Caenorhabditis elegans: one gene and its partners. The protein of the gene in region 4 purifies or fractionates together with the protein of the main gene of each other region. This does not show direct contact. Each region holds a gene or a part of one and is shown on either strand. Other genes may lie near its edges. The genes, in order: ttr-15, clec-137, rab-5 and gly-8.

What was found.
Region 1: the proteins of gly-8 (region 4) and ttr-15 fractionate together in Caenorhabditis elegans (co-fractionation; one large-scale study listed by BioGRID). This does not show direct contact.
Region 2: the proteins of gly-8 (region 4) and clec-137 fractionate together in Caenorhabditis elegans (co-fractionation; one large-scale study listed by BioGRID). This does not show direct contact.
Region 3: the proteins of gly-8 (region 4) and rab-5 fractionate together in Caenorhabditis elegans (co-fractionation; one large-scale study listed by BioGRID). This does not show direct contact.

Annotation. Positions count from the first base shown.
Region 1 is NC_003281.10:10,334,134-10,341,530, reverse strand, and holds ttr-15 (Transthyretin-like protein 15), read right to left. Parts: upstream 3,685-7,397; 5' UTR 3,659-3,684; coding exon 3,514-3,658; intron 2,529-3,513; coding exon 2,281-2,528; 3' UTR 2,091-2,280; downstream 1-2,090. Other genes in the region: T-box transcription factor tbx-9, read left to right, coding at 398-473, 531-683, 1,110-1,466; Apoptosis regulator ced-9, read right to left, coding at 4,451-4,630, 5,118-5,267, 5,799-6,059, 6,108-6,359; mev-1 (Succinate dehydrogenase cytochrome b560 subunit, mitochondrial), read right to left, coding at 6,541-6,639, 6,693-7,055, 7,167-7,253.
Region 2 is NC_003280.10:4,614,709-4,621,212, reverse strand, and holds clec-137 (C-type LECtin), read left to right. Parts: upstream 1-3,122; coding exon 3,123-3,290; intron 3,291-3,342; coding exon 3,343-3,454; intron 3,455-3,509; coding exon 3,510-3,768; intron 3,769-3,819; coding exon 3,820-3,994; 3' UTR 3,995-4,061; downstream 4,062-6,504. Other genes in the region: clec-139 (C-type lectin domain-containing protein), read left to right, coding at 529-647, 693-799, 844-924, 976-1,051; clec-138 (C-type LECtin), read left to right, coding at 1,413-1,547, 1,596-1,707, 1,797-2,052, 2,111-2,285; clec-136 (C-type lectin domain-containing protein), read left to right, coding at 4,680-4,808, 4,863-4,974, 5,032-5,290, 5,347-5,536.
Region 3 is NC_003279.8:9,305,236-9,312,674, forward strand, and holds rab-5 (small monomeric GTPase), read left to right. Parts: upstream 1-3,206; 5' UTR 3,207-3,209; coding exon 3,210-3,300; intron 3,301-3,596; coding exon 3,597-3,685; intron 3,686-3,888; coding exon 3,889-4,200; intron 4,201-4,400; coding exon 4,401-4,535; 3' UTR 4,536-4,986; downstream 4,987-7,439. Other genes in the region: nmat-2 (Nicotinamide/nicotinic acid mononucleotide adenylyltransferase 2), read right to left, coding at 616-981, 1,188-1,311, 1,356-1,465, 1,513-1,584; uev-3 (Ubiquitin-conjugating enzyme E2 variant 3), read left to right, coding at 5,094-5,154, 5,519-5,657, 5,705-5,879, 6,140-6,346, 6,742-6,915, 6,969-7,065, 7,152-7,369.
Region 4 is NC_003281.10:11,620,219-11,628,735, forward strand, and holds gly-8 (putative N-acetylgalactosaminyltransferase 8), read left to right. Parts: upstream 1-5,023; 5' UTR 5,024-5,024; coding exon 5,025-5,131; intron 5,132-5,417; coding exon 5,418-5,496; intron 5,497-5,551; coding exon 5,552-5,655; intron 5,656-6,177; coding exon 6,178-6,430; intron 6,431-6,507; coding exon 6,508-6,641; intron 6,642-6,687; coding exon 6,688-6,846; intron 6,847-6,893; coding exon 6,894-7,011; intron 7,012-7,626; coding exon 7,627-7,779; intron 7,780-7,824; coding exon 7,825-7,983; 3' UTR 7,984-8,017; downstream 8,018-8,517. Other genes in the region: ceh-91 (Homeobox domain-containing protein), read left to right, coding at 1-230, 998-1,330, 2,422-2,715, 3,418-3,570, 3,626-3,673; Y66A7A.7 (IMV envelope protein), read right to left, coding at 8,168-8,292. UniProt on the Caenorhabditis elegans protein: Potential glycopeptide transferase involved in O-linked oligosaccharide biosynthesis. In contrast to other members of the family, it does not act as a peptide transferase that transfers GalNAc onto serine or threonine residue on peptides that have been tested.

The DNA of each region.
Region 1 (7,397 bases), 1.3 Mb from region 4:
AGAAGCTATGAAGATTTGTAAACTGACATGATTATCAAAATAGTGAGAACCATTTTGTCAATTGGCAACTTTTTTTAGCTCCGCCCTGGTATTACAACTTCAAAGCGCCATATCTCAGCGGGCTTGGAAGTTTTAAAAAAGATGTTAACTGGAAAATTGTTAACTGATTTATCATCTACAATTTGCCAGTTGACAACTTTTTTCTAGCTTGAGCCATTGAAGAGTTAGAGCTGCCGACACTGGCATTCAAATGCCTTTGGAATATTTTGAGGGTTACATCTCATCTAACATTAAAGTTTTCAAAGTTTGTCGTTTGTCAACTGACAACATAATTCAGATGAAAATAATTCTAAATTTGCTAAATTTATATCTTCAAAGTAACCCCAATTAATTTCAGTGACTGGATGTGGAGTTCGATTTGCTTTGATCGTGTGAAAATCTCCAACTATTCAGAGTCCAACAACGCTTCAATGGTAGGATTTCAACTTTAAAATTACTTGGCAATTTCCAATTTAAAATTGAAATTTCAGATTTACCTCAACAGCATGCACAAGTACATTCCAGTGCTGACAATCTACGAGTCTCCATCGGAGAGCCCTTTCTGCGTCCCACAATCCTCAAACCAAATCGTCGCCACCGCCAAATTCCCTCATACCGAGTTTATTGCAGTAACGGCTTACCAGGTTAGTATTGAGAGTAAGAGTATTAGCGCATGGATCTTATCTCGGAAGAATCAATATTTTGTGAACAATGGGAAATCTGGGAAGGAAGGGGGAAGTCTTGTCAACCATCATACTTATCAAGAAGTCGTTAACTAATAATTTGTAACCCTAGTTGTAAAGATTAATTAGTTAGTTGACAAGTTTTTAATAGAGTTAAAAGAAGGAGAGTTACACTTGCTCAAAATTTGGCTCTATTTATAAATTTGAAACTGCGCTACTTTAAGCACTCCTACCTCGCCAATAAAAAGAGCTATATAAAAGTTGTCAACTACAAAAATATTGCTCGCTTTGTGATCCATAATATGGTGTTTAACAATTTCTTAATAGATTCTTTGTTTTCAAAGATAGAGAGAGTTGAATAATAAACCTAATTTTTCCTCATTTCAGAACCAAAAAATCACCGACTTGAAAATCAAGCACAACAGTTTTGCCAAAGGTTTCCGTGACGGGAACTTGAGTCGCAAGAGAAGATCACCATCATATTCCGACGGCAGCAACTCACAGTCCCCATCGCCAAAATCCAGATCACCACCGGAGGTCGCACCTCTTCAGTCGATGCCTCCAATCAACCCATTTCTTTTTTATTTTCCCCATATGTTATCTGAAAATCTTCCAGTCCAATTTCCATTCGCTTTTCCATTTCTCTCGCCTCTCCCGTCGACTCCTTCCAGCTCGAGCAGTGAGCTGAGCATTGTGAAGGAGGAGGATCAGGAGGTAGAAGAAGATATTGATATTGTTGGTTGATAATTTTTATGCAAACTGGTCGCTTTTGATATCATGTAATCAAAATTTTTAATATATAAATATATAAAGCTTTATATTTTCAAAGAAACGACTTTTTGAAGACCCGCCGATTAAATTAGAAGTTTGTCGACTGAAAAAGGCAGCCTAGACTGCTAGCCAACAATTTTTATACCTACAATACTTAAAAATGTATTGTTTAAAGGAACACGTAGTTTTCTGAGTGGGTCTTGCCACGATCACAGTCATAGTGGTCGCTGCAGAACCCACATTTTTAGATTTGCTTATTTGATGTTGAAATGGAAAATTTTCAAGACATTACGAGAACACACAATTCTGAGGATGCGTATTGCGCAACATATTTGACGCGCAAAATATCTCGTAGCGAAAACTACAGTAATTCTTTAGAAGACTACTGTAGTCAAGGGTTCGACTTTTTGAATTGATGTTCAATTGATGTTCAATATTTTCCTCCTTTTCTTCTAGTCTGATTCATTTCAAAAATCGAGCTCGTAAATCGACACAAGCGCTACAGTAGTCTTTTGAAGAATTACTGTAGTTTTCGCTACGAGATATTTTGCGGTCAAATATGTTGCGCATTCTCATTAATTTTGTGTTTCCGTAATATTTCGTGCTTTGACTTCGTTTATTGTGATATCCACAAAGATATACTTGGCAAAATTGTCAACATAATCACGCAACTTTTCTTACAGTTCAAGGTTAAAATTTCAAGGTTTTCCAATAGTTTATTGTTGAATTAAAAGAGATAGAAAGTCCTTCCCTTCCAAACAAGCAAACAAACAAAAAAAACATTTTCTTAGCACTTCTCCTTGTCTTTAGCGGAAAGAATATCAAGAGTGACGTATGTCATATCATAGGTTCCACCGATCTTCTCCTTTGGAATCAAATACTCTGAAACACGCTTGCATCCGGCCTTCTTCACGTTGCAGTTGTGGGTGATTATGAGGTATGGAGAGATTGAGGTGATCTCGTCGTCGGATCCGGTAAGTGAGAACTCTCCTTCTTTGTTCGATTGCATTGAGGCGAGCTTGTCATCGGGGTCGACTGGAAAATTGAATACTAATAGTACGTTTGATAGCTTGTAGGTGTTGCAGAGAATTTTAAGGGTTTTTTATATGTCCTAGGAATATATTGGCAGCCTAAAGCTAGATGAGGTTTTTGGTTTTTTTTTTCTAAGCCACACATCAAAAGTCAATATTATAATTGCAAATTATGGATTCAGTTAGTTGTCAATAGCAGAAAAATACCAGCTTATTAGAGTTTCAAATAATTGACACGGTACAGGAAAAAATTGCCAGAAATCAGTGGTCGTGCTTTCTCTTTTCGCGGCCACGTGGAACAAAATGATCGAAAAGCGGAATAGACAGAAATTTGCCATATGGCATTCAAGTTGAATATCAAATTTCACATTTCGAATGATTTTTTTTTAATTTTTAGAATTTCCTGAATTTTCGTTTCAAGCTTGAAATTCGCCATAATTGTGGTTTTTTGAACATATATGCAATTTTCTTGATTTCTGCATCAAAATGACGATACCCGGTCTCGACACGACAAGTTTGTGTGAAATATGGAAATGTGTGCGCCTTAAAAGAGTACTGTAATTTCAAACTATTGTTGCTGCGATATTTTTATCGGTGTTCTTCATTTTGTTTTTCGCGATTCGGTAAAATTAAATTTTTGAATAAATAAATACATTTTTCTTATAAAAAAACGCTACGAAAAATCGATGAAAAGTCCGCAACAACAGAAGTTTCAAACTACAGCACTCTTTAAAGGCGCACATCTTTTTGAATTTAACAAAAATGTTTCGTGTCGAGACCAGGTATCGTATTTTAAGCTCAAAAATCGCAAAATTTCGTGTAAAGAACGTTTGGGGATGAATATGAAAATTTCAAATACAAATTATTGAGAAATCTCGTGTAAAGCTGTGCAATTCGGCTTTCTTTTGAAAACAGGTGGAAAACTTCAATTTTTAGGCCTTTTTAGTCCTTTTTAAGCCGTTTCAAGCTAAACAAGACTGAAAACTCACGAGTATCTTTCTCCCAAAGGGTAACCTCCGCCTGAATTCTCTTCTTATTACAAATAGTTGTACCCTTGACAGTGATAGTCTGCTTCTTTGCCTCAACAAAAGCCAAAGCCAAAAGAACAACAGAGGTGAATAGTAAAGCACGCATTGTTGTTTTTTGAATCGTGCACTAACGTTTTTTGTTTTATATACCGACAAAATTCAAGGGAATCAAAATGGGCGGAGCCTATCTGATGGTGAAACAGCGATAAGGCGGGGGGATCGTTTACACTAAACAAAAACATTTTTGTTTCGAAAAATTCAAGGCCATCGAATTGACCGTCGTCTCGAGACAGAAGAGGCGAGAAAGATGAATCATTATATTAAAAAATGATATTTTCCTACTAAACTTTTTTGGATGACGTGATGGCGAAAATGAAAACCGGATTCTCTTGCGCACGCCTATTATCAAAATTGCAGTTTCGTTCCGAAAAAAGGGTTGAATAAAAGAACCGTTTTTTTTGTTGTTGTAGAGAGAAAACAATTTGAAAAAAATAAATACAAAGTCGCGTACGCGTACAGGAATTTGGGGGGAGTTGGAAGAGGCCACACGAAAAGAGACAGTTAAAGTGAAGATGAATTATTGAGATACAGGGGTACTTTGGAAATGTGGAAGAGAAGCGGGAGGCTAGGCCACGGCGAGAAAAGTTAGGGTTTCAGGGTTTTTGACGAAATGTACAGAACACGGAAAAGTTGATATTACGCGGAAGTAGGGTTTGGCCAAAAAAAAAGGCAATCGGAAAAAATTGCAGTAAAATCGTAAATCGACACAGAGAGCCGTAATTTGTGGCCTAGCTTTCCCACTTCTTCCAGTTCAAAGGATGAGAGAATCAGTGAGCAAAAATGAGATTCAAATGTAAGGAGTTGTACATAAATTAATTATTTACACAAATTGAATACGTTACTTCAAGCTGAACATCATCCGCCCACACACGACGACTCCAACGATTCCAATGGCTCCAGCTGTTACTCCAGCGCCAATCATCGACCACCGTCTGTTCTGCTTCCGGCGTCCCACTTTTTCAGCTTCTGCTCGTTCGTAGTCCTCTTTCATTTGTTTTCCGAGTGTCATGAAGTCGTCCTGCAATTTTTTTCTTGATTTTTTATTTTCACAAATAATGCTTTAGAGCATATTCCGGGGAACACAAAAATCCGTGAATGCGTATTTCACAACATATTTGAGGCGGAAATATCTCGTAGCGAAAACTACAGTAATTCTTTAAATGCCTACTGTAGTCGATTTACGGGCTCGATTTTTGAAATTAATTTCTTTTGATTAGTGGTTATTTTCTTTAATTGTAAAAATTTTAAAAATTTAAAGAATTACTGTAGTTTTCTCTACTGGATATTTTGCGCGTCAAATATGTTGTGAAATACGCATTCTGCGAATTTTGTATTCCCGTAACAATAACATTATCATAAACAGTAATATACTTGAATATGTTTCCAGCTGTCCCCCCAAGAGGCTACCGAACCCTGTAATTATCGGCTTACCAACACCCCGGGAAGTCAAGGGTACTAGGGAAAGGGGGATATTGACTTCTAATGTCTATGCAAATACTCCTTACCCAGCTCCGATTGTGTTCCTTCCAGTTGTTGCGGATCCGCGTTTTGATGAACAGCGATGTGTAAACGAAGAGGTTTCGCACTTGTCCCTGCAGTTCCACGGATTCCATCATTTTTGCAGCTACGAAACCGCCGAACGAGATTAGACCTATCTGAAAATTAGAAATTTGCAATTTAATTCGTTCATTTCTGGCGGAAAATTAAGCTTAAAAAAACGATTTTTCTGGTTTTTAATGTTCGAAAATTGAATTTTTGGGGTTTTTCGTTCAGCAAATCAGCAGAAAAACCTGTTTTTCGAAGAAAAAAGTTCAAAAATCGAATTTTAATGTATTTTCCACAAATTTTACATTTAAAAACCGATTTTTGATAAATCAGCAGATCTTTTTCGCAAATACAAATCAAGGAAAATATGCTTTAAAAATATTCGAATAGAAAATAACGTTTTTAATCGAATTCGTAAAGTTTTCTGCTAATTTATCAACAAAAAAAATTACAATCCGGGATCAAAATTCGTGGTTTTTTAATGGAAAACTTTCAAAAAAGACACATAATTGGGCTATTTTTGACCAAGTTTTGCTGATTTCCTGAAGGAAAACAAACAATTTTTGCAAATGTTTTTTCTGCCACCTTTCTGGCGAATTTTCGAATTTTTGCAAACTTTTTTTCAGTATTTTCTCCCTTACCAAACGTCCATAAGACATTGGACATTGATCTGTCTGTGCATTTCCAACCGTCCGAACCACATCCTGATACAGTGAAAATGAGATTCTGGGCACTGCGAGCAGCTGCTCACAGAAGGTCTCAAAATTTTCCGCGTGCTTCTTCTCGAATATCGTTCCCATAACTCGCATCATTTCGTGCTCCGGTTGCACTCCACACGGCAATCCCGGTGCTCCAAACCATTCCATTCCGTTTTGCCGGATTCGGTGCGTGAAATAGTCGACCTGGAAGCAGCAGGAAATTTTATTTACAAAAAAAAATTAAAAAATTACCACAAATCCCTCGATATCAAGCCTTGGCTCTTCCCAATCATTGATTTTTCCATCAATTGACTCTCCGATGGACATTCTTCGCGTCGAAGCCTGCCTACTCGGTGATGGCAAGTCCTGAGCATCACTATTGATTCCAAAATCGGTGGGCTCTGTGCCTTTTATCCCCAGAAACTCCTTCATCTCGCCAGTCGCCATCGTTCGTCGCCGATACGCCGGATTCGTCAGCGAGTTGTCCGCCGTGCAGCGTGTCATCTAAAATTTTTATTCGTTTTCATAATCATAATATACATTCTAGACAGAGAAAAAAAAACGAAGAGGAGAGGTAAATCTACGGAAAAGAGAGAAAATCGAAGAAATCAACGGTAAAAGTAAATTGACGAGAATTGTCGAGGGCTGGGGCGGAGTAAGAAAAAAGAAGGCGGAGCATCTGTGCCTAGGCAGTCTTGTTGCTCTTGTTCTGGCAAGAGTTGAAGACAATGGCGAGAGCAAGAATAGCCGAAAGTCCAGATACGAGATATCCCGATTTGTAGATCTGAAAATTAATTTTTATTTTAAAACAATTAAATTAATAATTTCAACTCCTACCTGTCCAACATTATTGACTCCCTTAGCCAAATCGAATCCTAAGAAGCGAATTCCGTTAAGAGTATGGAAAATGATGGGGAAAGCAATGATGTACTTGAAGACAGCGGTCACCGCGCATGGTAAGTTCCAGCTACGGATGAAATCCACAAAAGCGGTGAAATCGAACGGCAAAACTGCGAATCCGATTCCTCCGACGAGAAGGGTTCCGGCCATTACACAACCGCTGATTCTATGGAATCCGGAGAGCATCCAGGTCAATTGTGGCTGGTAGACGGTGAGATGTGGAGCGATTGGGCGATTCTTGGAGCGCTGCTTCAACAGGTATTCCCATCCGAACTTCTGGATTGGCGTCTTTGCCTCGGACTGTGAATATTATAAATAATTAATTGAAAAGAATGTGTCTGTTATACATTTCTCCTTCATGCGTACACAAAAAATCAACAATTTTCACGGAAAAATTCAAAAAATCCCCACCTTGGTGACGATCGATGTTCCAAAGGAGCGGGAAATCGACGATCTGGCGCCCAAGCGGCACAGAATCGCAGTTGGAATGTTAATCATCCTGAAACAATGCTGATTTTCTTATCAAAATTGAAAAAAGAAACAGGGCGGTGCGTTTCAAAACAAGTGTTGAATTTTGTTGCGGAAATGCACGCACAGGGCACGAGAAGTGCGCCAGCAGCGCGTCTCGTTTGAAGAGATGCG
Region 2 (6,504 bases), on a different chromosome or scaffold from region 4:
AATTGGCAGTTTAAATCTAATAGAAGGGTTTCGGTTGTGACGAAAATTTTTTTGTAGACATGCTGTTTTTCTACGTGGAATTTTTTCTAAATTTTACTGAAACTAAATACTTCAAATGACAAAAAAAGAAGACAGTAAGTAGGCCTGTAGGCAGACAAGTAGAATAGGGCCTACCCGCCCTTCTCGTCTCTTATTAAAAATACGATCGGCGTGATGCCATTTTACAAATTCTCGCAAGCTGAACAAACACCTGGAGGCAGCGATTAGCATTCGTACTATTTTGGAAAGCGAATTTTCTGGTTTTTTGAAAAATTTGGAAAATGTGAAAAAATAGAGCCGGCGGCTAAAACTTTTCTGAAAGTTATGTATTTACTAACATGCTTAAAGCCAATCACTGTTATCATTTATCAAACAAATTATGTAAATGCAACGTCATTGTTATTGAATGTAAATGCTAAAAGGCACAACAAAGCCGACAGAAACTGACAAACAACTTTTAGGCAAGTTAAAACTGAACACAAATTTCAGCTTTAATTCGAAAAAACAATAAACGAGTCGCAGTGGACGGAGTGTTCAATCCAAAATGCCGAGGTTTCAGCGACTGGCGAATGAGAAAGTTTGGAGGACTTTGCGCAAAAGAAAAAGAGGTTTTTGTTTCGAAAAGTGTGTTTCAAGTATCCCGATCGTTTTAGCTATTTATTCTGGAGGACGATCACACCGATCCAGCGTTCATTCTCACAAAGTGGTCTGGAGAACCGCCAACTTCATCAGACAAGTATCAGGAGAAGGGGGACTCTACGTAAGGAACCCAGTGGGATAAAAGCTTCATGTTCTAGTTTTCAGAGAAATTTTCACAATCGCTGAATGTCTATCTCTACATAATCTCCAGGCAATCAAGAATACTGGAAATTTGAAGGATTTTTTGTGAGTTTTTTTTTTGCAGGATTTTCAAACCCAAAACTAAAAAAATTTCAGGTGCGGCGAAGAACCAGACAAACAAGTCGGCGAGGTGCCATTCTTCGGAGTTCTGTGTGGATGTGCTCCAGTATAAAATTATTTAACTAGTGCCAAATGTATAAACAATTTTTGAATTTTTTGAAGATTTTTCAGAGAAATCTGTCCTCGAGGCACAATATAAATTGTTCTTACAATGTATGCCTAGTTTGAAAATGTATATCATGACTCGATTTTTTTTGTGTTATAAAAAATTTTCCCTCTAGAAAAAGTTGAAAAATAGGTAGAAAAATAAAATGCGTCATTTCCGCCCAGCCCCCGAGATACCGTATCATTTTGATGTATTCGGGGAATAATGGTTCCGCAGAAACGGAATCATTGAAGGGATGTACAGCTTTTTTATAGCTTTTGACTAGTACAAAAGCATACTGAAAGCTTCTTCTTGAACTCTTCATAACATGTTAGTTTTATTCTTACTATTCTTGGTTGTTCCGGCGGTTTCTGCAAAGGATCCAAGATGCCCAAAAAACTTTACTTTTGTCAAAAGAACACTAACTTTTAAGAATAATTTTACAAAGGGGTGGTGCTTGGGGGTACGTTATTGATAGAGACAGTACCCAGTTTTAAAATACACTTTCAAGATTTTCAATGGAACGGATGTGGGAAATCGTGACCGAGCCCGCTCAGTCTGTCTCTATCATAACGCTTCGCTGAGCAATCCAGAAAATTCACATGAACTTGAGATTGTTTCTGGTAAGTTGATCATGTTTTTTTTTAAAGACATGTCTTCAATTCAAAATCGCTAGGAAAAATATGCTTCTAAATGTGTAATTAATTTTTAGACGTTATTCGCGCACGGAACATTTCCCTCCCGATTGCACTCGACGGACAACTCTCTCCAAGATGCAAGGCCCTTATTTTCAGAGGCGAACAGAGCCAACAATATTTTGACCAAAGAACAGAGGAAGGAGATTGCAATATTAACAATCATTTGTTTGTATATGATGATATCAATACAGATACTTTATTTATCCGTTCCAAACTAGGTACTTCGGCTGGAACTAATGGAGGATACTCCAGTCAGGAGGACGGAGTAAAGTAAGTGTATGAAAATTTCTAGATTCAACGTCAAACAAGTCTAGAATTCAATTTACAGATTTCGTTTCACCAGAGATTGTAACGCATTAACAGATGCATACTATTACTTTTCTAATGGAACACATTTCTATGCGGTAGATGGACGAACTGAATTGCTCGGATGCTTTGGGGAAAAGGATAAGCAAAATAAACACGAATATAGTAGTGTTCTTTGTGGAAGATTCCCTCTCTGAGTTAATTGATCAGAAAAGACAGTTGTTAATAAATATTTTGGAGTTGTTGTTCGAATTCATCACTTGTGATTATATCAGAAAATACCAATTTTGCAACAAACATCAGTCGAGGATATGCATAATTTTCATAATAAGTATTTTTTGATAGCTAAAGATTGGAGCTAATCATATTTCAAAATTTACAGAGACAGGACTATTTTAAAAGTAAACTACCCTGTAACAAATCAAGAGTTTCGAAGCTTGAAATCAAAAAAAAACTTATTCTTGTAAATCATTTTATATTCTACCTCGGAAGCCGACAAAAGCTTGGTTTTAAAAAATCTAGCTTCAAAGTCTTGTTTTCAACCACAAATGTTTGTGTACATAAATTTTTGGATAGGTATCATAACAAGCAAGAGGGCCTTATGTTAGTCATAGGCTTGCACTCAGTTGCTCAATTTTGACGGCTAATAACTAGGTTGTGTTTTGTTTTACCAAAAATTATAAGCTGACAAAGAATGTGTTACAAATTTCTCTACAGTTTTGGTGTTAAATGTTTTTGATAAAAGGGCTGAAAATGAGGGTACTTTTGTTAGAATCTTTATTAGATCAGATATTTTTTTGTTTCAAAGCGCATGGTTTCAATATTCTTGACAACTTCTATCAACCTACGTGTTATATAAGAATTTCTTTGAATGAAATCATCCAACCTGATGAAGAAATATAATGCGTCGTTTCCGCTATCCAGCCCCGAGATACAGTATCATTTTGATGTATTCGGGGAATAATGGCTCCGCAGAATCGGAAACGCTACAGGGGGCGAACAACTGTTTTATAGCTTTTGACTAGTACAAAAGCATGCTGAAAGCCTTCTATGAAGTTCAGTATAAAATGTTAGTTCTATTCCTACTATTTTTGGCAGTCCCAGAATTTTCTGCGAAGGATCCAAGATGCCCGGGAAACTTTACGTATTTCAAGAGAACACCGACGGCAAAAAATAACTTTACAAAGGGATGGTGCTTGGGGGTAAGTTGTTCATATCAATGACACCTAAATAGTTTTAAAATGATATTTCAAGATTTTCAATGAAACGGATCTGGGAAATCGCGACCGAGCCCGTTCAGTATGTATCTATTACAATGCGTCGTTGAGTATTCCAGAAAATTCACACGAACTCGAAGTGATTTCTAGTAAGTTTTTGAGGATTTTTTTATTGCTGCATGCGGAAAAATGTAAAATTTCCAGAGACTGCTAGCTTGAGAAACATTTCCGTACCAATCGCTCTTGATGGACAACTCTCTCCAAGATGCAAATTCGCAATTTACAAAGGACAAGTAAAGGGTGCAAAACGATTTAATCAAACTTCTGAAGAAGGAATTTGCAATATTAAATATGAATTGTTCATATATGATGATATTAATACGGATACTTCATTCATTCGCACAAAGCTAGGTGTTTCGGCAGGATCAAACGTAAGAAGTGTACAAGCTGATGATGATATCGAGTAAGTTTTGAAAATCGACTTTCCTATTTGCATCCAACATTTCATTTTCAGGTATCGCAGTACAGCAGATTGTACCGTTTTGGAAAAAGGATCGTATCACTATTCTAATGGAACACTAAAAGATGGGCACACTAATTTGATGGATTGTATGGGACAGCTAGCTGGCTCCAAGAGGCTACCAGAAAAAAATGTCACCGCCGTTCTTTGTGGCCGATTGCCGTTCTAAGTAAATGTATTCTATCATTTCTGGAAAGATTAATTTTCAATATTTAATAAATATTATATTTCCGAAATCTTTCTGATATTTCTTATTACCTTAGCTGATTGAAAAGATAAGGTACACCCAATTTGTTTCCGCAAGTGAACTTCAGGTTATTCTTAGGCGACGAAAATCCCTGTGCGGGTTTACAATTAAATCATTTTCGCAACGAAACATTTCCTTTTACAGAGTTTTGACAAGTGTGTATACCATTTTTGTAAACTAAAAGTCAATTAATTCATCTTAACTTTCGTCTCGAACTTTTCGTTTTTAAGTTCCATCTTGTTGATAATACGGCCTAAAAATTGTAAAAAATTTCTCAAAGCTTCCTATTTTCTGTGTCAAGAAAAATCGGAGAGCTCTACATTATCTCTTTTTTGGCTTCCGGAAAACTTTTAGAGTAAATTTATAATGTATAATTTATGATAAACCTCAAGAAAATAGGTACAACAAGCATCTGCTACGTCCAAATCAAAATGTTTAGAAGAATAAATACTACGGTAGAGCATTTTGTGGGTGTTGTTGAACATCACGCTTTTGTTGAAACGATCAAATGCTGTCGGAAAATAATGGCTCCGCATGGCTTAGTCACAATTTTATCGATTTCAATAGGTACAAAACCCCGCCGAAACTTTTCAAAACTGACAGAAAAATGTTCGTTTTCTTTTTGCTATTTTTGACTGCGGTTTTCGCAAAGGATCCACAATGCCCAGAAGGGTTTTCTCATGTCAAGAGAGTCCCAACTGCAAGGAACAATCATACAAAGGACTGGTGTTTGGGCGTAAGTTCCAAGTTTTGGGTTTTGTGTTCATAATGCTTTATGACCATATTTCAGGTTTTCCAATTCAAGAACATGGGAAACCGAGACCGAGCTCGATCATTTTGCAGTTATGTGAACGCTTCATTGACCATTCCAGAAAATGAGCACGAGATTCAAGTGTTTTCTGGTAGGGATATTTTTCAATAAAAACATTTTCAGTGTTGTAATCTTCAAAAACTTTCAGAAATCGCCCGAGCTCATGGAATTGAAGCTCCTTATGCTGTTGACGGTCAAATTTCTCCAAAATGCAACGGTCGTATTAATAAAGTCGAAATCATACTTCGTCATCGATTCAACAGTACAGAAGAAAAAGGAGATTGTAATATCAAGAATAATCTATTTTTGTTCGATGATGTCAATAGTGACACTACATTCATGCTGAGCCATTACAAACGTCGACTTCCAGCTGCTTATATGGTTCATCAAGCTGACAATGGTCCAATGTAAATTAGACATAATTATCAAATAGCGTGAAATCATAAAAAATCAAATATTACAGATTCCGATTCGCCGCTGATTGCATTGTTCTAAAATCTGGAATTGTCAAGGCTAATGGCACAGAAACAAGAAAGAATTGGGGAAGTTTGGAGTTTTGTGTGGGAAAAAATGCAGTGCAGGCTTATACAGACGATGAAAAACCATATGGAAACGACGTGGAAGCAGTTTTGTGTGGAAGACATCCACTTTAATTGTTTTGAGAAACTTATAAGAAATGTGGGTCCTAGAAATGTGATGCACCTTGTCTTTAGTTTTGATTGAAAATTGTCAGCTGAAAAAATAAATTTCAATTTTTTCTATAGTTTTGTAACTTAGTATTAAAAAAATAACATTGAAATTCCCTACAAAACAGTGAAAACTGTAAAAAACAAAAGCGAATAAAAAAAATCTCGAGTCTCGTTTCCCCCATTATACATAAGTACATCAATCCCTATCCTTTCCAACATAGAAAAAAAACACGACACGGTCTATATGATGCGAATATTCGGTAATACGCGATTTAGAGATGATGGAGGAAATAGATGGGACTGGATTTTTTGTCAATTTTTTTTTACAGTGATGATGATTAACTTTTTATGGTTGGGAGGTTTTTCACTGTATTATACATATATATGAATGGTTAAGCAGGAAATGGGGGTTAAAGTAAGTGTGAAAGGAGAAGCCTAGTGACATCAGCAACAGAAGATGCCTGCCGGTGTGCCTTCAAGGCAATCTAGGCCTACCTCGTGCCAACAAACTCCTGAAGTAGGCCAGACAGGTTCGAGGTATGTATGTAGGTAAGCACACATGCCTGGAGCTTAATGAAAACTTTATGGCAAGAAAATGATCTAAACACATGCCAAAATACACTAAACCCCAAAAAAACGGGAACTTTCGAGAGGCCCAGCTGAGAGTTTAACACATTTTGTTGAAAGTAATGTGGGTTTTATAGGAAATCTCTAGCGATCAAACACTCCGAAAACTTTTGAGTTTCATGCATCTTTTTGTGACGTACTGGAAGATTTGAAAAAATTGGAAAAATCAACTGGCAATAAGACGTTTAGAAAAGATGATTGGCAAAAAATGAAACTGAACATTCAAGTGACCAAAATTTGCCAAAAAAAGGAAAAGGAAACATTAATTTATAATTGAAAGATACTTAATCTAATAAACACACGAA
Region 3 (7,439 bases), on a different chromosome or scaffold from region 4:
CGAAGGTTCACTATAAGACGTACTAACCGGATGAGAATAATTTTAACGATACTAAAAATTCCCACTCCTAGTAAGCATGAACAGTGGCAACCAGCTGAAATGATTTTTGAAATCAATTCAACCGACAGCAATTTCTATTCATTTTAAATAGATAAACGGTATTTTGGTACTTGTGTATTATTTCCCCTCATTTTAAAATAATAAATTTTAAAAAAAGTTTTTGTATTTTTGGCTTAGAAATTATGTACACAAGTACCGTATTTTTAGTGTGGGGGTACTGTGGGATTACTGTAATATTAATTTGAATACAGAATTTTCTCTGAAGTGAGACAAGGATAGTGTTTGGTTAGGGAAGAGGTACTGAAGGATTACTGTAGTTATTATTTTGTAAAATGTTCAACCGGTTTAGTGTTGTATTTTCTGTGAAATCTATCAATTAATCAGCATTGAAAGTCATTTAAAATTCTATTTCAACAGCGAGACGCAAGAAAAAAACATGATAAAGTCAATTCAATCAGACCGCAATTTTTATTCGATATTTTGAACAATGCCATTAATTAAAACCCGTAGCATTTAAGAATATATTCAAAAGTATATATATTTAACAGTAAAAAATTAAATTTTCTGATACAGATTATTCTCCCTGATAAAATTGATAACCTCATCTGGCGTCGAATATTTTATGGATTTTTTATTCATAATTGCGGCTCGAAGACGTGTTGAACTAACTCCACTGGGACACACTTCATCTTTCACTTGAATTATTCTATCACAAAATTCGGAAATTGCAGGCATTGATTGAATTGTGTTCAATGGATTCGATCCTTCCCGTGACAAAACTATTAATCCAAATTCTGTTATAATCGTTCGAATATCACTGGAATTCCAAAGATTTGATCCATCGGGAAGAATTCTTGTGAATGAATCTACTACGTCACCTCCGACGACTAACATCATACCGACGTCTGATCCAAATTTCTCCTGGAAATAAGAATTGATTAAGTTTTAGTTTTATTAAGGGGTTATGATTGGTGATAGCAGAATATTGATATTTTAAAAATATTTTTAAAAACTAAGTTTCTAAAAATGCTCAACTTTTGAAAATTTTCGCGATTTTTTGGTGTGTGAAACTTCCCAATTTTAATTCCCTTTCGGTTTTTTAAGTTTTCAGAAAAAAAAGGGCGAACCTGAACAAGTTCTCTATGATGTCTAAGAACATCAATTGTCCTTGTCCACGTGGTTCGAGTACATTCCCAGTCATCGGCTCGTATCCAATCAGAACTTTTTGTGGCGGCTCGAACCATTTGAATGCTGAATTAGAACATTTTTTATCAAGTCTTAAAAACTTTTTCTACCGAAAATTAGATTTTATAAGCGTTGGTTTATTGTTGTATGAATCAGCAACGGGACTCATTATTCCTTCAACAACTTGTGTATTAATCGTTTCGAGATGTGACCTGGCGACCTGAAAATTCATATATCATACATTTAATGTTTTTTTTATTTGATTACCTCAAGCATACGTAAATGTGCAATTGTTGGTGGATTGAACGACCCGACGGCAAGAAGAGCGACTCGTTTCATCGTTTTATCACAATATTTATTGAAACTGAAAAATATTTTGTTTTCTTCTGAGCTATTTAGAACGAAACGTTTTTGAAAAAATATGAAAAATATCGAGAGTGATCAGAAACGAAAAATTTTTTTTAAAAGTGTGTCAAAAAATGCAAGTCAGGTGGAAAATCAGGATACGTTTAGGAAATTTCTTATTTATTGAACCTTTTATTCACAAAATCGACAAATTTTTATGATTGGGAAATATTAAAATTAAGCATGAAACAAATTTAAAATGAGAATTTTAATGTGAAAACATTCTAATACAGTTTACTCTTAAAGGGACATGGCTCAAACAAAAAAAGTTGTCTCGCAACGACTCAGCTACAGTAGTCTCTTTTGAATTTTCTTGAATATTATTTGAGACCCGAAGAACTCGGGGGATGTCCAATTGGGGGGATTACCAACTCGGGGGATTGGCCCCGCCCACAGAACCGTGGCTTGCAATACGCCCATTTCTGCAACTGCCGCACGGTTTTAAAATTATTTTTTCTTGTTATTTCTCGCTCTATTGAGAAAAATACAGTTTTAAAACCGTGCGGCAGTTGCAGAAATAGGCGTATTGCAAGCCACGGTTCTGTAGGCGGGGCCAATCCCCGAGTTGGTAATCCCCCCAGTTGGACATCCCCCGAGTTCTTCGGGTCTCTATTATTTCACACTTTTTCCGCTTAATTTTGCGCGTTTTTTTTAAATTTAGCCAAAAATTACCGGAAAATAAAAGTTTTTCGAAATGAAAAATAATTTTCATCAAAAATGTAAAATTGGCCTAGCGCGAAAAAATATAAATTCGAAAGCGCGCGCACCGAAAAGCCTCCTCCCGTTTTCATCCATTTTTGTCTAACTGTCTGCGATGTCACACAAACATTGAATACTCAGTCAACTGCGCCCGTCACCACCCCAGAAGGTACGCAGCCAAATTGGCTACCCCCGACGAAGCCCGTGTGTGTCATCGATGTCTGTTGCGCAAATATTTCTTTTTTTTAGTTTTATTGATTTTCATATATCCTGCAATTTAATTCGTTCACTACTTTTGGATGCTTCCAGAAAACTAATTTTAATCTCAAACTTCATCAAAACTTGAGAAAAAAGTTTATCAATTAATCAAATTACACGTGATGAATAATATGCAGAGATAAGCAAACTGAATTGATGAAAATAGTGATCAAAACCCGTATTTCTTTATCGATTTCATCACAATTTCGTTCCTCGTGAGACACCCGTATGAATCAATAATACGCTTGTTTACCACTCTTCAGTCTCTCGCGTGCCTTCAATCTTTTTCGGAAATTGCTCATTTCAAATCAATTTTTCCACTTTTTAAGTACAAGGATTTTTAGAAATTTTTCTAGAAATTTCAGGGATTCAAAATTGTTTTATCAATGAGAATTGAGATATAGAATTTTAGTCGAACATTATTTTTTTTGTTCTTTCTGGAAAGAAAAATGCAACATTATTTCTCTTTGAAACCATTTTGATATTTTTTCAGCTGAATCCTCCCTCATATCGTTTCCTATGTGAAATTATGCTTATTTTTTGCTTGTAATTTATTCGATCGATTTTTAATGTAATAAATTCAACAAATTTGTATTTAGAAAATGGCCGCCCGAAACGCAGGAACCGCCCGGCCTGGAGGTCCAAACAGAACGTGCCAGTTCAAACTCGTTCTTCTCGGAGAAAGTGCTGTAGGTGAGTTGATACTGAAAATGGAAAAAACCGCTAAAGGTTGGAGTAGAAAATAAAAGCAAACAAGAACAGTTTTCCAAAAAATAAAGATTTTTTTATTCTACTCCGTTCTGTCTGTAGCATATTTCGCAGTTGCTGAAAACCGTCACAAAATTTCGAAATTGCGTTGATTTCGAAGTTTAATTCTTCGTCTTTTGATTGTTTATATGTTTAGAATTATGGGTCATCTGATAGTTGCTAGCATATGACGTATATGCTCTCTTATTTCACCTAAACATCACAGAAAACTATCATTTCAGGCAAATCATCTCTCGTATTGCGATTCGTCAAGGGACAATTTCACGAGTATCAGGAGTCGACTATAGGTGCTGCGTTCCTCACTCAAACTGTGAGTTTTTGAATTTTTTGTGAAAATATAACAATTTTCCCTAATTTGAACAAAAATTTTGACTAAAATGAAAAATCTCGAATTTTAATAATATATTGTTTTTTAATAATATAATTGCGGAGATTTTTGCTCGAAAAACACGGATTTTATATTGAAAGACGTAAAAACGTTAATAATTAAGAATTGAATTTTCGAAATTTCAGGTGTGCCTTGACGATGCAACAATTAAATTCGAAATCTGGGATACTGCAGGACAAGAAAGATATCATTCATTGGCACCAATGTACTATCGAGGAGCTCAAGCGGCTATTGTTGTCTACGATATTACCAATCAAGAATCTTTCCAAAAAGCGAAAAATTGGGTAAAAGAACTGCAGCGACAGGCATCTCCAAATATTGTGATGGCATTGGCTGGAAACAAGGCTGATGTTGCCAATAAGCGAACTGTTGAGTATGAAGAAGCTAATGCTTATGCTGAGGACAATGCTCTCTTGTTCATGGAGACATCTGCGAAGGTACATTAGAAAATTTGGATTTTGACAATAAAAACATGTTAACAGAGTACTGAAATAGATCAAAAACTAAAATTGTTATTAAAAATAACAATAAACTTTGTTTTCTGCGAAGATAGTTTTTGAACTAATCTCCATTAAAAAATGAATGAGAAATTTAAGATTTCCAATTTAAAATCAATTCTCTATTTATTTAATTACAGACCTCAATGAACGTGAACGATATTTTCATGGCAATAGCTAAAAAGTTGCCAATCGGACCAGCACAGGGTGAACCAACGGGAACTGTCGATATGAACCAACCACAACAGCAACAAAAGGGTTCATGCTGTAAATAAATTGACGACTTTTTCATGTACCATCAACCCTTCTAGCTCCGCTCCTCTTTTGTTCTATATATCTTTTGAATCCAACGCCTGTGATCGTCGTCATTGTTTTCCCCTCGAAAAAAAAACACTTTTGAACAAGTTTTTTGTGCTCGCTTTCTTTATTTATTTTCACTCTTTTAACCCATATTTTCTCATTTTTTGTATATTTCTGACTAATGTTCAGCCAGTGAATGAGCTTGCACAATTGGCTCTGCCCATTTGCTTTTTATATGCGAAAACTCCCATTTTTTCATTCAAATGTTCCAATTATTTATTGCTTCTCACCATCAACATCCAAGTCCCGAACCCCACCATCCCACTGTTAGTACTTTTCTCGTCAAAGTTTCACCACCTTTTTGTCAATTTTTTTTCAAAATTTTATAGCATCCTTTCAGAATCTATCCGAATAAATTGAAGTTCGAAAATGTATATACTTGGTAACACAAAACCCTTCGTATACGATCGATATTAGATATTGAATTCAATTTTCTGAAAAACAACAAGGTGAGAATTATTTGAAGAATACAAATGTCCGATCAACCTGGAACAAGTAGACCGCCTCTTCGAGCAGAACCAACGCCCACAAAAAGTAAATGCTTTTCAAATCAATTGAATTCAAAAGAAAGTTAAATTTAAAAATTAAATAAATTTACTTTAAAATATACAAAATCATCTGAGATTTTTTAATTTTTTTAAATTTTTACATTCATTTTTTAAATATGTATCTGATTTTTTTTTCGAAAAGCAATGAAAAAGTATGGAAAATTATTTGAAACTACAGTACTCTTTAAAGGCGCGCACCTTTTTATATTTAACAATAATTTGTCGTGTCGAGACCGGGTACCGTGCCTGTAGTGAAAAAACACAAAGAAAATAGTTCTGTAATTTTTGTCATCAATTTTAGCTTTTTAAATCAAACTTTCTAGTAGGAACTTTGAATTTTTAATTTTCAGCTGCAACACGTCGACGTGCCCGTCCAATTGCAATACCATCAGATGAAACTCCACGGAATGAGGTTACATTCCTAAGACCATCAGAAGTTCCACAAAGAAAACCACTTCCAGAATATCGAGAACCACAACCACGAAAAACGTAGTCACATTTAAAAAAATCATTCTTAATTTTTAAAACATTTTCAGAGTTCCAAAGAATGTTCCACTTGAAGATCTTCATAATTATCATCGGGAGGAGTGTCTAAACGTTAGCATTCCACATTTTATAAATACAGAAGATCTTATCAAAGAATCTCAACGTGTCAATGGTCTCATTTCATTTCGAAGCACAAATTTTGTGGATCCTTCTGTTATTTTGAAGGTTTTTATTTAAATTATTATTTATTTATTTGTTTTAGATTTTAACGAGAAAAAATCAGCCAAAAACGCATCTGGATATTTTTTTCAAAAATTATTTTAATGAGAAAAATATGAAACAAATATTTTTTAAAAGAGTATTGAGAAATGACCTAACATTTTTTTGCAAAAAAAATCAAACTGAAAATTGTTGCTCTCCAAAAATCAGAACCCACTTGAAGTCAGAAATATAAATATTTCTCCTAATTAAAATTATTTTTACAGGAAATAAAGAAAAAAGAAGAGGAAACTGTAACATTAATGGACAACGACAAAAATTCTATAATAGACATAGTTGGAGATGGAATAAACTACGAAAAATTGAAGAAAGTCGAGAAATCCCTCTGCCAGATTGATATTATCACCGAATTTATGAATAGAAGTCGACATTTACAAGGAAAAAAAGTCAACGGATGCATAATGAGAATCGACGTACGGTTTATGGTTTTTGGAAAATTTCAAAAAAAAAAATTCAAAATGGATTGACATTGCCTGACTTTTCCACCACAAGAAAATGTCAAATTTAAAATTATTTTTTCGGATTTTTTTGTAGAATAATAATAATAATTTTAAGTGATAAAATTACTAAATATCATAGTTTAAAGTTTCAAAAAAATTTTAATGCGATTTCTATTTTTTTTTTAATTTTTAAGAGTTCGGCTATGATATTTAATTTTTTTAGAATATTTTGAGAGTACTTATAAATTTATGCAAAATACCTCTAAAAATAACAAGAAACAGTAAACATTATATTTTTCGCAATAAACAGTTTTTTAGCCAAATCTGAGTCGACTTTCTGTTTTTAAAAAATTTGAGTAACTTTTCAGGAAACGAAACAATTATTATTTCATGTAATAATTGATGGACCTGTTGGAAGTATCTATGAAGGTGGAACATTTTTTGCCGATATTAACATCCAACCATATCAAAATCATTCATTGATTCCAAGAGTTTGTTTTCACACATTTATATTTCATCCGAATCTTGGGAAATATGGAAACGTAAGTTTAAAAACCTAATTTTGAAAACATTTAAATTTTTTGCAATTATTCAGTGGGACATGCGTGGAATTCAATGGGAACGACGATCCAATTTGGAAGTTTTATATAATTTTATTGTGGAAGGAATGCGAAATGTGAAATATGATATTGGTAAATTCTTTCTACATTTATAAGACATTTTAAACTACTTGGCTATCTAAATATCAACTAAAAAATTAAATTATGAACTCTTCCAGAACGTAGAAATCTTGCTCAATTGGAAGATATGTCACAACCGAATATCTCGCGGCTTGCTAAAGAGGATTGGCCGAAATTCGAGCGTACAGCCCGGGAATTTGTAATGAAAATGGCCGGAGGAACTATAAACGGACGCAAGACAATTTTTGCTGAAACAAAAAAAAGGAGAAGACAAGATTTTCTTGATGAAGACATTGATGTCATTGGAATTTCATAGTTTTCTGTTTTTTTTAAATAAACAAAAAATGTTAACCATTATTTATTGGTTCTTAAAATCACTTTAAAAA
Region 4 (8,517 bases):
AGCGATCGATCGAGGCGATTTTCGGCTTTTTCGAGCGACGACGAAATGACGATAATGAAATGTGCACGGGAGATGATGCTTGCTCGAGTTTAAGACGTTATTTGGAAATGGAATTACATCCACATGGACCATTACTTGAGCCACCTGAAATTCGGTGTAGAATGATTAAAATGTTTGAGAAACATTGGGCCAAATATCGATATGTATTCAGAGATCTACATTCTTATATGGTTCAAGATTTTTTTTATTGAAAAAACTGAAAAATTACAAATTTTTTTTAAACCATAAACTCCTAAAAAATTACCTACAAAATTGTCAATTTTCAAAAAAAATTTTTGTCAGATATTATTTTTTTTGTTTGATTTTTTATATTCAAGAAAAACGTTTTAAAAAACCTAAAACAAAAAAAATTTTTTAATGAAAATTTTCATTTTTTTTTAAATCATAAACTCCTGTATTTTTTTTACATACAAAAAATTGTATTCGAAATTTTGAAATTTTAATTTTTCTTTTAATTATAAAAAAAAACGTTTAAAAAAACGATTTTTAAATTTTTAAAAATCTTCATTTCTGTTCAACAAAAACAAGGTGTTTTTAAATAAAGTAATTTTTAAAAAATTCGAAAAATTTTTTTTTGGAAAAATTTTTTTTTTTTTGGAAAATCAAAAATAATTTTTTTTCGGGTAATTTTTCAGGAATTTATGATTTTTGAAAAAAAAAAGTAAAAATTCAATTGTTTTAAATTTTAAATCATTTTTGAAATTTTTTGAAATTTTCCTGAAAAAACGTACTTTTTTTTTTGAAAACTAGATATTATTGTCATTTTTTGAGAAATTTATGATTTTTTAAAATTAAATTTTTTTTTTTTAATAAAAATTGAAACAATTGAATTTTTGTGTTACAAGAAAAAAATTCATGGAATTCAGGCTCAAAAAAATATTGTGAAAAATAAAAAAATTCAAGAAAAAAAAATCCAATTTTCAAAAAATTTTTGCAGTTCTCCGATGCGCTGGGCCTGCCTCCAAAATACATTCGACAACGTTTCGAGCATTTCAAGGAACGAAAGAATCAACAGCAGAAAAAGCAACAAGAAGAAGCCGACAGAGCATTCCGAGAACGTCACAAGCCACCGAAACCACACAAACCAAAACCCAAATCGCAATATTCGAAATTCGAAGATGAAACAATGGAAAAAGCATATATGAGAACTGTGAAAATGAATCCATCTTCATATGAATCCAGGGATCTTCTCGAGTCGATTTCCATTAGTTTACGAATGTCATTGATTAAAGTTCACGAATGGTTTAATAATAGGAAGTTTGTCGACTCTGTAAGCATCCTTTTTTCTGGAAAATATTTGGGGTTTTCTCCGAAAATTGCAATATTTTCAGCGGAAAAAAACTCAATAAAAAAATCCAGTTGAATTTTTCTAAATTTTTTTATTTTTGCGAAACCTCGCTCAAACCCAAAAATTTTCCTAAAAATCGAAAATTTAACATTAATTAAAGTTTAGTTATAATGAATTTTCCGAAAATTGTTTGAATATTTGACAAAATTAGCCCAAAAACGCGTATTACGGGGACACAAAATTTTGAGAATGCGTACTGCACAAAATATTTGACGCGCAAAATATCTCGTAGCGAAAAGTGCAATAATCCTTTAAATGACTACTGTAGCGTCGAAATGAATTGAGCAAAGAGCGAAGAAACGAATTAAACAATTAAAAACCCGTAAATCGACACAGGCGCTACAGTAGTCATTTGAAGGGTTACTGTAGTTTTCGCTACGAGATATTTTGCGCGTCAAATATGTTGTGTAATACGCATTCTCAGAATTTTTGAGTTTCCGTAATTGTTTCGAACTTTTTAAACAATGTTTTCCGGCGAAATCAATCAGTTTTTTCTCCGTTTCATAACCTGAACCATTTTTTTTCGCATTTTTTCCAAAAAAAAAAAACATTTTTCCGATTGATTTTTATCGATTTTTAGGCCAGGTTTATACTTTCAGCGAATTTTCTCAAAAATGTCTTCCAAAAAATAAAGAAGCAAAAATCCCTTTTAATATAGCCGGAAAACGCGGGAATTCAAAAATTATCGAGTTTTTGAAAATACCTTTTTTAACTGTTTGAGGCGATTTGACCAAAATGCATTATTTTACGGTTTAATAATAATACTGATTTTAAAACAAATTTGCTCGTAAAATACGGTGTTTGCACTATTCTTCGGGATCACATGAATGCACCATATTTTACGTGCAAATTAGTTTTGAATATTAATAAAAAAAATATTAGTTTTAAGTTGTAAAATCGCCTCAAATATTTAAAAATCAATGAAAAATATGTATTTTACAGGATTTTTTGAAGAAAAAAAACATCCAAATTCCACATCTAATACATCAGATTTCACCGGAACAATTTTGCAGATAATAGATCAAACGTGGAGAACATTTTCTGTAAACGACGAAAAACGGCTCCATTCGACATTTCTTCAAAATCCGCAACCAACAGATGAGCAATATTGTTATTTGGCGAAAGAACTACGTGCTCCAGTGAAAGAAGTGATGAATTGGTTCAAATTGAAACAAATGAACGAGGAACGCGAGGAAGAAGCGCTGAAATTCGAATATAAGCTTGATGCGCTCACACAGGAAAGCATCGATTTGTTCACGACAATTGTTGATGGAACTACTGTAGTCTCGGTCGCCAAGCGACGATTGGTCAGTACTGAGGGTCTCTCGCAAACGAACTCCCAGTTTTCCCGCCAAAATTGTTTTTCTCTGGAAATTTGAATTTCCCGGCAAAATAATATTTTTTTTTCTCTAAAAATTTGAATTTCCCGCCAAAATGTTTTCATCTCAAAAAATTTGAATTTTCCGGCAAAATAATTTTTTTTTCTCAAAAAATTTGAACTTTCCGGCAAAATCGTATTTTTTCTTTAAAAAAAAGTTGAATTCCCCGCCCGCCAAAAGTTGTTTATCAGAAAATTTTAAATCCCCGCCAAAATTATTTTTCTCAGAAAATTTGAATTTCCCGCTAAAAAAATTTTTCTCTGAAAATTTAAATTTCCCGCCAAATTTTTTTTTCAAAAAAAAATTTGAATTTCCCGCCAAAAAAAAGTTTCCTCAAAAAATTCGAATTTCCCGGCAAAATTTGTTTTTATCAGGAAATTTGAATTCCCCGCCAAAAAAAATTCTTCTCAGAATTTTTGAATTTCCCGCCAAAAATGTTATGAAAAAAATTTAAATTTCCCGCCAAAATTTGTATTTCGAAAAATTCGGTTTTACCGCCAAAAATTGTTCTCTGAAAATTTTAATTTCCCGCCAATTTTTTTTTCAGAATTTTTGAATTTAAAAAATCTATATTTTATCGATTTTTCGAAATTTTTCCCTCAAAAAATTTCTTCAAATCTTAGTTTTCAGCTAGCACTAGAGCTTGACGTTCCATACGAAACACTCGGTCGATGGATCTTCTACTACCGAAATCGCGAGGAAAAAAGCCGGAAATCTCCGAAACTCGAGGATGATGATGATCCACCGCCGAGGCTGGCGAAAATGCCAAGGCTTGAGATGAATGTTAGTGAAAACCTGAAAATTTCAGATTCTAGAAAAAAAATTGATTTTTTTTCAGGAGCCCGACAACGAAGAAGATATCAAACTGGAACCATTGGATTCTTGACACAATTTTTTTTGGCAATTTTTTTGAATTTTTAAAAAAAATTTCTACCGCTCTAGTTTTGTTATTTAATGGGTTTTTGATTAAATAAATGACAACCAATATATTTTCCAACAGAACAGAGAAAAGATAAACATCTCCTGAACACTCCAAAAAAGGGGTACAAGGTTAGTATCGGGAACACCGTTTGAGGCCTTGGCCTCAATTTATAGGAAATTGGCTTTTTATTTTGTTTTTTTATTAAGAAAAAATTTCAAAAATCATTTTGAAATGTAAGAGTTTGCCAGAATTAGGCCATTTTGACTCGGCCGGGGTTGATTTACGGCGCGTTGCGTGTCGCGTCGCGGCTCGATTTTAGTCCGTGTGGAGTACACGACTTTCCCACGCGTTGTCTCCGGCAGGCGATTGTCAATGGAGCGCGAAAAATGCAATGAGGAAAGCCAGGAGCCCATGATGCTACGTGACAAAAAAATTGGAAGAATTAGATTTTTTAGCTATTATAGTATGTAAGAAGCCTGCCCTAAAATCAGTTGCGCGTAAAATCTGATGCAGGGGGGTCGGCGAGCCGCACCGAAAACGATTACATCAGATTTGACGCGTAAATTCTTAGAGTTTCAAAGTTTTTAATTTATATATCGATTACAAAAAACACAAAAATGGTGAATTTTTTTTTTCGAATAAAATGGCCCAAAACCTCAAAGAACAAGTTTGCGCGTAGAAATTGATTTGTTCTCTGCAAACACCGACCACAGTGCATCAGATTTGACGCGCAACATTTTAAATTTCCAGGTGCCACTTGGCTTTTCTTCTGTATTTCGCCCGAAAATTCTGCAAATTAGCAGTTTGGGTGATTTTAGAGCACAAATTATGATATTTCTATTTTATAAAAAATCTCATAAACTCCAACTACACTCAATGCATCATATTTGACGCGCAAACTCAAAAAATATTATAATTTTTTGTTGGATTTGGATAGTCTTCTTGAGATTTTCCACTGGAAAATAGCTGAAAGTTAACTTTTGTTTAAATTATATAAATGGGGCAAATTTTCTTCTCGAACCTTCTCCACTAATGAATTGGTTAATAACCACATCTATATAGACGACAACAGAGTACAAAACCTAAGAGACGCAGAGAAAAAGTGGCGGAATATAAGATGGACCAGTTTTTGTAGGTGAGACATAGAAGACATCTCCGAAAATGCGGAGAAGGTGTGTATAAAAGAAGAAGTCTGTCCGAAACGATTTCTTGTTTTCCATCCCAATTTTTCTTTACTTTTTCATTCAAAAAGAAGACGGAAGTCTTCTGATTGATTGCATGTTTTACCCTTAAATTTTAAGATAAAATTTACAGAATGCGACGCCACGTCGTCCTATCGATTTTTGTTTTTGCCGGAATAGTATTTGCGGCGGAAGAAGCAGAGAAGCTTCCAAAGTGCGAACACGTGGACCCTTATGAGAAGTTGGTTGGCTTTAAAGATATGTATCTCTATATTTCATTAGCTTTTGAAGATATCAAAAAGTTGTTAATTAAAAAAAAATGTTAAGCACAAATTTATCCATATTTTGGTACTTGAGAATTTTTTGGTAGCTAATCCAGTTAAGAAGTTATACGCGCTTAAAGTTTTGAAACAAACTGATAACTTTAAAATCGTGTAACTCCGCGGGAAAAAATGTTTTACTAATTGACAAATTTTTATGACCTTCTATAATTAATAGGTTATCACTCATAAATTTAAAATTTCCAGTTTGGAAGGCTGGTTGGACCTGAAGCCTCTCACCGAGAGAAAATGCAATCACACTTTAAAAGAGAACCTTACTGAAGCTGTAAGTCTACTTCAAAATATTAGTTATTTGTCTAACTCATCAAATATTTTTCCAGGAATCCAAGAAATCCGAATGGGGAATTAAGAGCTTTGCTTTTGATGCTCTATCTTCGGAGAAGCTGGGACCGAATAGAAATGTTGGAAAGCAGGCGCATAAATTGTGAGTCAATAAATTTTCATATTGAAATTTTGATGAGAACTCCAAAAAATCTTGTAATTTCAAAATTCCTTTTTTTGTTAGAAATTCTACGCGTTTTACTGGAATAGAGGGGATTCTTTACGATTTCAGAAATTTCCTGATAGATTTTAAATATTCGTTTTCGATTTATGTTTTCAGAGAATTTGATTAAAACAAGTTCTTAAAACAACACATCTTGAAATCTGAGACTAAGTCTCAGCCTAAGAATAAGCCTAACCTTAACCCTAACCCTAAGCCCAAGCCTAAGCTTAAGCCTAAAACTAAGCCCAAGACTAAGCCTACGCATAAGCCTAAGCCTACGCCTAAGCCTAAGCCTAAGCCTAAGAATAAACACAAGCATAAGCCTAAGCCTTAGCCTAAGCGTAAGCCAAGTTCTAAGCCTTAGCATAAACCTATGCCTAAGCCTAAACCTAAGCCTAATCCTAAGCCTAAGCCTGACCTAAGCCTGAACCTAAGTATCACCCAAAAAAGAGAACTTTTCAGATGCGAAGAAGAAAAGTACGATGCCAGTTATTCCACATCAGTGGTGGTAATTCATCACAACGAGGCTCTCTCTACGATCCTTCGAATGATCAACGGAATCATCGAATTTACTCCAAAATCGCTTCTCAAAGAAATTGTGCTCTATGAGGACGCTTCTGAGGAGGATCACGTGCTCACTAAGCATTTGGAAAAGTTCGCGAAGATTAAGGGACTCGAGGATAAGCTGATCATTAAGAGAAGCGAGTATAGACAGGTGAACATTTGAATATCCGGTAAAAAATGTTCCCAGAAAATTTGAACCTTCCGTGTATTGCAAAATCCAAATTTCAGGGTCTTATCCGAGCAAAGGTTCATGCTTCAAGATTAGCTACCGGTGAGGTTATTGTGTTCATGGACTCCCATTGCGAGGTGGCCGAGAGATGGTTGGAGCCACTGCTACAGCCGATTAAAGAGGATCCAAAGAGGTTTTTTCTTGCAAAATGTTACTGGAAAACCAAAAAAAAATTTCAGCATCGTCCTGCCAGTCGTCGACCTGATCAATCCAGTTTCCTTCGACTATTCTCCATCGATGGTTGCCAAGAGTGGATTCGACTGGGGATTCACGTTCAAATGGATCTATCTTCCATGGGAATACTTTGAGACGCCCGAGAATAATGTGAAGCCTTTCAAGTAGGAATATGGTGCATTAGTAATAGGGAATACGGGTTATTTTTCAGCTCCCCAGCCATGCCAGGAGGTCTTCTGGCGATGAGGAAAGAGTATTTCGTTGAGTTGGGAGAATATGATATGGGAATGGAGATTTGGGGATCCGAGAATATTGAGCTCTCGTTGAAGGTGAGTCATGCGCCTTTAAACTATGTGGAGGCGAGGTTGCGCCCGACATATCGCGGGCTTTTTTGGAAACCAGAAATTGTCGGACGTGTGCGACACCTAGCGGCTCTCAACAGAGCTTAGTGGCGGAACTCATAATTTGTCGGCTGTTGGACAAGCGCGACACCTAGCGACTCTCAACATAGCTTAGTGGCGGAACTCTTAATTTGTCGGCTGCTGCGGCTGGTGCGACAACTAGCGGTTTATGGGCCGCGGTGGAACCCAGAAATCGTCGGCTGCACTTCTTTGTTGTTCAATTTTTTCAGGGTCAGAGTTAAATACAAAAATTGGTAAATGATTTGGAAGACGCATTTCTTGAAAAAATTTTTTGTATAAAATAGTGTTTATCCTTTTCCGACGTTTTTTTCCGAAAAAGAGAAGAAAACATAGCCCGACACCTTCCGGGGACCCCCGCTCACATGGCGTAACTCATAATTTGTCGGCCGCAGGCAAAATACGCGCGCCCGACATTTAACCGGTTTCCGCCACTGCCAATTACTCAGCGCGCCCGACACTTCCAGAGTTTCGCCACTCGAGCCCGTCACTTGTCGGCCGCTAATAAAATCACCCATTTTCCAGGCTTGGCTCTGCGGCGGACGTGTCGTAGTTGCTCCTTGCTCACGTGTCGGCCACGTGTTCAGAATGCGCCGCCCGTACACCTCAAAGCCAGGAATGGATACCGCTTTGTACAACGCGGTCAGAGTTGCCAAAACGTGGCTCGGCGAGTATGAGGTTTGTGGTTTTTTGTCATGAAAATGAAAAAACGCCAATTTTTAGTCCAAATTCTTCGCTGTAAAGCCACGTGGCGCAAAGATGGTGTTCGGAGATTTGACAGAGCCAATGCAAGTGAAGGATCGTCTCAAGTGCAAAGATATGAAATGGTTTATTGAGAATGTTTATCCAGAACTTGAGCCAAAAGTTCATGATGAACTATAATTAGTTAACGTATTTTAATAAATATTTTGAGTTTTTTTAAAATTTTTATTTTCAAAAGTCAGTATCAAAATCAGAAGCAAAATCAACAACCAGGAAAGAGGAAATAAGAATCACATAGAAATAAACCCATTCAAATGTTTAAAGGCACATTAATAAATTGTACAAATCTGATGACGTCATCATCTCAAACTCGCTGACTCTTCATCGGGCTCTGAAATGGGGTTGTCGAGTTGCTGGGGCTCCCGCTGCTCAGCTCTTTATACTGGTATCGTTGATTGTATTTGCCATAGAAGAAGCCGGCGGTACAGCCTGGAAAATGGTACTACTTAAGAATTTATTGATGCACCATGCCTTGAAAAATTGTTTACGAAAATTTGTTCGAAATTTCAGATAAAAAATTTTGCGGGAATTCAAATTTTCTCAGCAAAACTTTGACGGAAAATTCCAATTTTCTGAGAAAATTTTCGGTGGGAAGTTCAAATTATCTGAGAAAAATTTAGTGGGAAATTCAAATTTTTTGACAAAAATTTTGGC